2 linked regions of the Oryzias latipes genome follow. The protein of the gene in region 1 purifies or fractionates together with the protein of each later gene. This does not show direct contact. Links are inferred from orthologs where the notes say so. Each region holds a gene or a part of one and is shown on either strand. Other genes may lie near its edges. The genes, in order: pard6b and llgl2.

Region 1 (3,857 bases):
TTTTATGACAAAAAAGACAGAAAACACACCGATCAAGGCCAGTTCATGCGCAAAGCTAGCTAACTTACGGTTTCCAACAAACACAACGACTGAAACGCGCGAAAAGACACGGCACGCACGCGGGTTTCCCCAAAGCAGAGTCCCAAACCAAAACACCGACCTACCGAGCGCCACCTGACAGGCTTTCCGCAGCTGGCTGTGCTGGCTCCTCTTCACCTCCTTATCCGCGAGGATTTTCTCCAGCGCCCTGGACAGAAACATGCTCTTGGTTTTGTTGTTTGCCGCCTCAGACTGCGAGTGCTGCTGCGGGGGCCGCGGTTGCTGCATCGCTCGGTCTCTCAGGCCGTCATGTTCCGCCAGGACCCGCGGCTGCAGGTGACGAGGAAAGCTAACGAACGGCAGGCTCGCAGTGTCCAGCAGGGTTCCTGTCTCAGCTCAGCGTCGCCATGCTGGTTAGACGTCACGTCACGTGACATTCAGCTGTCTCGACAAAAACTCACACACTTGGAAATGAAAACTTTAGGCTTCACAGCTCGCCTAAAATAAACCATAGACTAGAATTCAAGTTAATTTATTTACATATTAAACAAATATAATTAATTTTTAACATTTTGAGTAGTAGACTGCACTTCCGGTTTCCATCAGTACTTCGTTTAGCCAGTAGATGGCGCCAAACTCCATGATGAGAATTAATTAAACGATATCTGCAGTTTCCCCCCACATTTCTTTAAAAAACAAACTACTTTGAACATCACAGCTACCCATAAATACAACCGACACTTAACAGCAAATATTGCTACATATTAGTTTATTTTTCCAGCTCCACCATCAGCAGTTACACCTGTTGGTTTGTGTGTGTACATCTTATTTATAGTGATAAAAACATATGCAGCATTGATATGAAAATACTGACATTCATTACAAATCTATATCATAGGATTCAACAGGCAAGCAAAAGTCATTGCTCCATTATTAAAACAAAAATCAGTCTAAAACATTTGTCTATGTTGAGGTTGCTAATCCCCCCCCCCCCCCCCCAATAGAATTCACAGTATCAAAAAATAGCAACAGATCTGATACCTTACAAAAGCCTTGAAATCACCCAGTTAAATGAGCGTAAATGGTTAAAGGAATCTATCGTACCTTGGGAAAAATCATGAATACACAGAAAAAGATTTTGTTGTAAAAAAAATAATAATAAAGCAGACAAAAAATAGTGGAATAAATAAAACTGTTGCTGTGGTTACAATTCCAGTGCCACGTGATGAAGTTAGATATGCAGTAAATAAATTACAGTGATTAGTAAAAGATTTAGATGAACGCTGGCAATGAAAGAAGACCCACCAGCTTTTGCTCCCAAATCCAAACAGGACAGTTCGCTTCAGCACTGAGCTTGTGGCTAAAGAGAGTGTCGTACGGATAATATGGATTCATCTATAGATGATTATTGTTTCCCTACAAACGCAGACATTCCTACCGTTAGCGTGTTTACACAACTCTGAATGTCTTTCAATGGAACTTAGCACTTCAGAGCAAAGGTGTGCTAAAAATAAACAGGTACAAACAAAACAAAGACACCTGCAAAGCAGTTGGCAGCAATGTGCAAAAGGTCTTCTGATAAATGAATCTGCTTCATGATTAAGAACTTAATGAACAGCCAATGACAGCAAAGCACAGGTGAGAGCAAACGGCTCCGCCTCACCTTTAACAAACATGGAAATGTTATTATTTTGTGTGGCTGGATGTGTGTTTGCTTCTCAGGGTGTGTTTTCAGGGACTCACTGCGTCAAATGACCAACTAAAATAAATATTAATGTGGGTGTTTTAATGCAAGTCATTCGCTCAGAATAGAGCTCTAACAGAAGCATGTTGGAGAATAAAACTTTCCATAGGCAAACAGGTATTGAAAACATTCAAGTCCCATGCAAATCGTGTTTTTGACACATTCTTGTGCCATTTTTCTAAGTATGGAGGACAAATATATAAAGAAAATTAAGCTTAACATTGCATTTCCAAGCCACGAGCTCCCTGCTCTGCTTAGCAATGGGGATGGAAAGGGGGGCGGTGTTGCTCTGCACCAAAAATCCTACCCACAACTCTGGGCTGAATTTCTAATGAACTCCTGCCGCTCTGCAGAAACTATGTCCTACAAAACGACACAATTTCTTAACCAATTTTGACTAAAAACTGCATAATTATACTTAAAGGACCAATGGGATCGCTTTGAACATAGATGACAAGATGATCGGAGTGGGACTTTAAATGCAGCATAAAATTAAATTAAGAAACACATTAAAACGTGGTCCAGAAAGAAATGAGGGCAGAAATGCTAAACATCGCGACAGGTTTTGTAGAAAATGTGCAGGAGTCACATTTGCAGACATTTGTCAGTTTCTGAATTTTAAAAATGCAATCTCAGTACCGGCTGAACTAAAGCTTTGTCATTAAAAAAAGCCATCTTAGTGGGTCCGTCCGTTTTACAGAGAGGTACAAAGATTCGTCTAAAAGCGTCGCAGAGCGAGCGTTTCCTAAAAGCAGTAGAACTGAAGATTTGGTTGACTGACATGTCACCGACTTAAGTAGATTTGAATAGAACTATTTATGCTGTAAAGCTACAGGTGGGGGGTGGGGTGGGGGGTTACCAGAGAAAAAAGGAGCTGGCTAACAAAAACAAAACTACTGAGAAAATAACTGCTTCTGGGGGCTAAACTAGACTTTTGTGTTTCTTCTTTCACATTTCTATGGAGCTGGGGGTGCGGAGGGGGTGTCACCTCTTTGGCACACATGCATGATCATTGGCATGTAGAGAAGTGTAGTGTTTTCCTTCACGTTTCTGCATGGAGGTGTCGGTGTGACGCTAGTGTTTCTCTGGAACAGTCGCTGCCTGACGGGGGCAAAGGGGGGTTTTATTTTCTGGTCTGTGATGCCTTACCCCCCCCCCCCTGAGTGTTTCCTTCCCAGGACAGTTCAGTCAGTGCTGAGGCTACAGCGTTATTACGGTGCCCTCCTCCTCCAGGCTCCGCCTGACCCTGTCTGGCGACGGCGTGGCTGAATTGGCGTCGGCGTGATTCAGCGATCCGCTGCTGTTGCTGGCGGGCAGAGTCCCGTTGGTGTGGATGGAGAAGGCGGAGGCGGAAGTGAAGGCGGTGCGGAGGTTGAGGTGTGGTTCGTAGCGAGGCATAGAGGGCATGCTGTATGTGGAGGAGGTGCGTCTGATGGGCTCGGCCTCGCCGCCAGCCTCGATCACCAGGTCTTCTTCGTCTTCGTCGCTTTCCAGCTCCCCAGCGGAGAAGTTCTGGATGATGTGTGAAGGCATGGAGGCCGTGGCGCCGTGCGTGGAGTAGCCGTAGCAGCTGGCGCCGCTGTCCGACGACCGCCCTGAACTACCAGATGCAGCCCCGCCCCCTCCGCTCCGAACGACATTGTTCCTCTGGTTGGCGGGCTTCACTGTAATGATGAGGTTGTGGCTGTTCGCGATCATCATGTCCGTCACCTGATCCAGAGATTTGCCGGCCACCTCGATGCCGTTCACCTCCAGGACCTCATCGTTTACCGCCAGCAGGCCGGTGCTCTCCGCCAGCCCGCCAGGAACCAGGCGGGAGATGAATATGGCCGGGACCTTCTCCAGACCCTGCGGAGTGACCCGCACGCTGGAGCCGTCGCGGATGTAGAAACCCAGCGGCTTCTCCTGGCCGTGCTTGTACAGGCGCACGCGTCTGTGCGTCTCCGGAAGGATGTCCACGTCGATGATGGACGACACCGGGCGGAAGTCTTTCGGGAGGCTGATGATCACCGGGTGCTTCTTCCTGGTGGCGTCCGGCCTCAGAAGAACCGCAGAAAGGACCGTGTTCTTCTTC
Region 2 (3,824 bases), on another chromosome or scaffold:
AGAGAGGAATTCTTGTGGTTTTAAAATATTAGCTGTGGTTAAATGTGTTATGTAGATGCTTTGAAGTTGTTTTGGTTATACTTGAGTGATACATTTTCTGCAACAATGATGTTTTTCCAGTTTGAGCAGTGTGACACTCACGGGTTTATACTTTTGTTTGAGTTGGCTCATTAGTATAAAAGGTATTATTATGTTAATTCATCACAAAAAACAACCCCAAAATGGAATTTTGATCCATTCACGCATCTCTGAGCATTCCTCTAAAACCCTGCTCTCTGAGCCCCTGCCCCTTGCAATCCACGATAATGAGTAACTTAACAAATTGGGGAACAGCTCCCTTCCAGAAAAAGTCTATGCTGCCAGCCCCGCCCCCTGACTAACACACACCCACTTTCTCTGCTGGGAAAATGATCTGTTTTATATGCACAATATGCACATGGACATCCATCTTTGCAAAAGTGTGGATGTTCTTTGTTTTCATGGGCGAAACGCAGACACACTACTGAGGCCGGGTCTAGGCAGGTTCTAGGAAACGGGGGGGCACCCACAAGGAGCGAAAGGCGGTGCCTCCGAGATTGAGCTATCCTACTTCCTGGTTGGAAAATTAGCTCACAAAAATAACTTGTTTCATTAAAAAATTGTTCTGTAGTGTCCCAAAGTTCTTTAGTTCTTTAGTGTGCCAATATTAGCAAATATATGGATATACTTTACTCTGAACGTTTAAAGAATTTAAATGACATAGGTCCTTCAGCGTAAAGTAGGGAGGAGGGGGAGTCTTCTGCTCAGATTTGGTTTGGGGTTTCCAGAGTTCTCTGAGCCAATGTCGGTCCCATTCTTGTACCTGTAGATCTCTGTGGATTTCGGCTTGTTTGTCATTCCCCTAGTTTTTCTTGCACTGAGTGAAATTGTGAATCTCAGCTGTGTGTGCTTGCTCACTGTCGAGTTTGAATCAGAATATTTTGTTCATTCTCAATATATCTATAAATCCATCAGTTGGGAAGTATTGAGACTTTGTAATTCACGATCATGATGCTTATATTGGTCATTGGAACCTCCAGCAGAGTTTTTTTCCTGCTAAGCTGGTTCTGCTCAATTCCTGCATTAACTTCCCTTCTCTTTCCAGGTGGGCTGTTTTGACCCGTACAGCGATGACCCAAGGCTCGGCATTCAAAAGATCCACCTGTGTAAATACAGTGGTTATCTGACTGTAGCTGGCACCGCGGGACAGGTGACTGCAACATGCAGCGCTGCAGAACTTTGTACTGCAGCCTTCACTATTCACTTCAATTCAATTCAACTTTTTTTGTATAGCACTTTTCCTGCTTGAGCATCTTAAAGTGCTTCCCATAATAAAATAGATATATGTAAAATAAAAAAATAGTAAACAGTAAAAATACTACTACTACTACTACTACTACTACTACTACTACTACTACTACTACTACTAATACTATTAATAAAATAAATATATAAAAACACATTTAAAAAAACAACACATACACATCCCACCAGTACAATCAAAATAAATCGAATTAATTGTTAATAAGGTTTTATGAAATCAAATGTGGACAAGTAAAAACTTTGCTAAAAAAGATGCCTTTTTTCTTAAAAACAGTTTATTATTTGTATAGCACTTTTTAAGCAGAAGCATCCAAAGTGCTTAACATAAAATCATAAAATCAGAGACGATATGATACAAATGATATGATGAAACCCTCCACAGTGGATAAAGCCCTTGCGTCCTCATGCAGGCTGTTCCACAGGCGAGGCCTACAGTGCTGAAATGAGGCCTTCTTGTGGGTTCTGACCTTTGGGACCACCAGCAGACCTCCACCTGCAAATGAGGGCTCTGGGAGATTCATAAACCTAAATTAGATCTAATAAAAATACGTGGCCAGTGCCAGTCAAACCTTTGCAAACTAATAGAAGAACCTTTAAATTTATCCTAAAGCTGACTGGGAGCCAGTGCAAAGATTTCAAAATCGGTACGATGCTCTCCTTCTTTTTGGTTCTAGTTAGAAGGCGTGCAGCCGAGTTTTGTACTAGCTGCAGCTGATTGATAGTATTTTTATTAATACCAAAAAGAAGAGCATTTCAAAAATCTATTCTAGTTGTTATAAAAGCATGGATTAATATTTCAGCACTGGCTTTGGACAGAGAGGGTCTCACTCAGGCAATATTTCTAAGATGATAAAAGGCAGTCTTTGTAAATTGGTTTGTGTGTGCTTCAGAGGTAAGATCTGCATTTAAAACCACACAGAGGATTCTGACTTTACTGCACACATTCAGATAAAAGTTGATAAGTAGGATTGGACCCTTTCTCTCTCAGCCTCAGGACCAACAATTAAAATGTCTCTTTTGTCTTGATTGAGCTTTAATAGTTCTCTCCAATCCATGTTTCAATATCTAAAACACAACTTAAAAGATAATCAATGGGTCCCAGGTCATCAGGAGACACAGCCACATATAACTGGTTGCCATCAGCACAACTATGAATGTTTATGCGATATCTCATGATGACATTTCCAAGCGAAAGCATATAATAAAGGTTAAAAAGTGTAGGGCCAAGGAATGAACCTTGTGGCACATCACATGTCAGTCCGTGCCTCCCAGATGACACATCATTTACTCTGACATTAAAATCTGAGAACTGTTCCAGTGTTTCCAACCACGTCATGGAGTCTGTTTAAAAGAACTGAGTAATCAACTGTGTCGAAGGCTGCACTCAGGTCCAGCAATACTAAAACTGATGTTTTCTTTCTGTCAGTGTTGGACCTGGGATCATTCCTAACCTTAACCAGCGCCGTTTCTGTGGAGTGATGTGGTCTAAAACCAGACTGAAATTTTCATCAAATATTATTTTTATTATTAAAATCATTTAGCTGAATAAAAACGAGTTTTCCTAGCATTTTACTTAAAAATGGCAGGTTTGACACTGGTCAGTAATTGACTAGATTTGAAACATCTAAACCGCTCTTCTTCAGGGTGGATCTCACCATAGCAGTCTTTAAGGACGTGGGGAAGATCCCAGTCTGGAGAGAGTAGTTAACGATATTCACGAGCTCCTCCTCACAGGACGAACACACTGACTTAAAAAGTGAGGTGAGGAGAGGATCAAGAGAACAGGTTTTAGTTTTAAATTGGGAAATCACTTTCAGAAGCTTTGTAGCATCAATCAAGGCAAAACTCTAAGTTTGTTATTGAAATTTTGGACAGATGAATCAACAGATGAACTTAGTAGAGTATTTGGTTGGTTGTGTTCCAAATGTGAGTTGAAGTTCGCAGCCACTTCAGGGTGGAGACAACGCCTTCTAACAATTATCTTTGGAAGTTTCTGTGTGACAAGACCAGTAACAGTTGAAAACCTGCACGACTGATCTGAGAAACCAACATCCATAACTGAGGTCACAGTTGTGGATTCACATGAATAATGATTAGGAGGATGGCCCTGAAGTGAGATTAATGGTCTTTTGTTGCAGATCATGGTTCTGGAGCTGAATGATGAAGCTGCAGAGCAAACGGTGGAGGCTCAGGTTGTAGATTTGCTGCAGGGTCAAGAGGGCTTTCGCTGGAAGGTAAAGATCTCATACAACGTAAACCTACCTGAGTCCGAGAAGGAGCTAGAACACCTTTTTCTTAAAAGGGTCACACTCAGCTGGATGTTCGTGAGGACCCGGTGCAGTTTCCCCCGGGCTTCCAGCCCTTCACCCTGGTGCAGTGTCAGCCTCCTGCTGTGGTCACTGCCCTCATTCTGCACTCGGAGTGGAAGCTGGTGGCTTTTGGCACCAGCCATGGCTTTGGTCTTTTCGATTACCAACAGAAAA

Evidence for each region.
Region 2: the proteins of pard6b (region 1) and llgl2 purify together in Homo sapiens (affinity purification with mass spectrometry; 7 studies listed by BioGRID and IntAct, counting the BioPlex papers as one, with this or other methods). This does not show direct contact. The link is inferred for Oryzias latipes from reciprocal best matches to the Homo sapiens genes PARD6B and LLGL2.

The regions. Positions count from the first base shown.
Region 1 is NC_019865.2:4,496,962-4,500,818, forward strand, and holds the end of pard6b (partitioning defective 6 homolog beta), read right to left. Parts: coding exon 2,984-3,857; 3' UTR 792-2,983; downstream 1-791. Other genes in the region: arfgef2 (brefeldin A-inhibited guanine nucleotide-exchange protein 2), read right to left, coding at 165-327. UniProt on the Homo sapiens protein: Adapter protein involved in asymmetrical cell division and cell polarization processes. Probably involved in formation of epithelial tight junctions.
Region 2 is NC_019877.2:17,342,879-17,346,702, reverse strand, and holds part of llgl2 (lethal(2) giant larvae protein homolog 2), read left to right. Parts: intron 1-1,123; coding exon 1,124-1,228; intron 1,229-3,479; coding exon 3,480-3,575; intron 3,576-3,643; coding exon 3,644-3,824. UniProt on the Homo sapiens protein: Part of a complex with GPSM2/LGN, PRKCI/aPKC and PARD6B/Par-6, which may ensure the correct organization and orientation of bipolar spindles for normal cell division.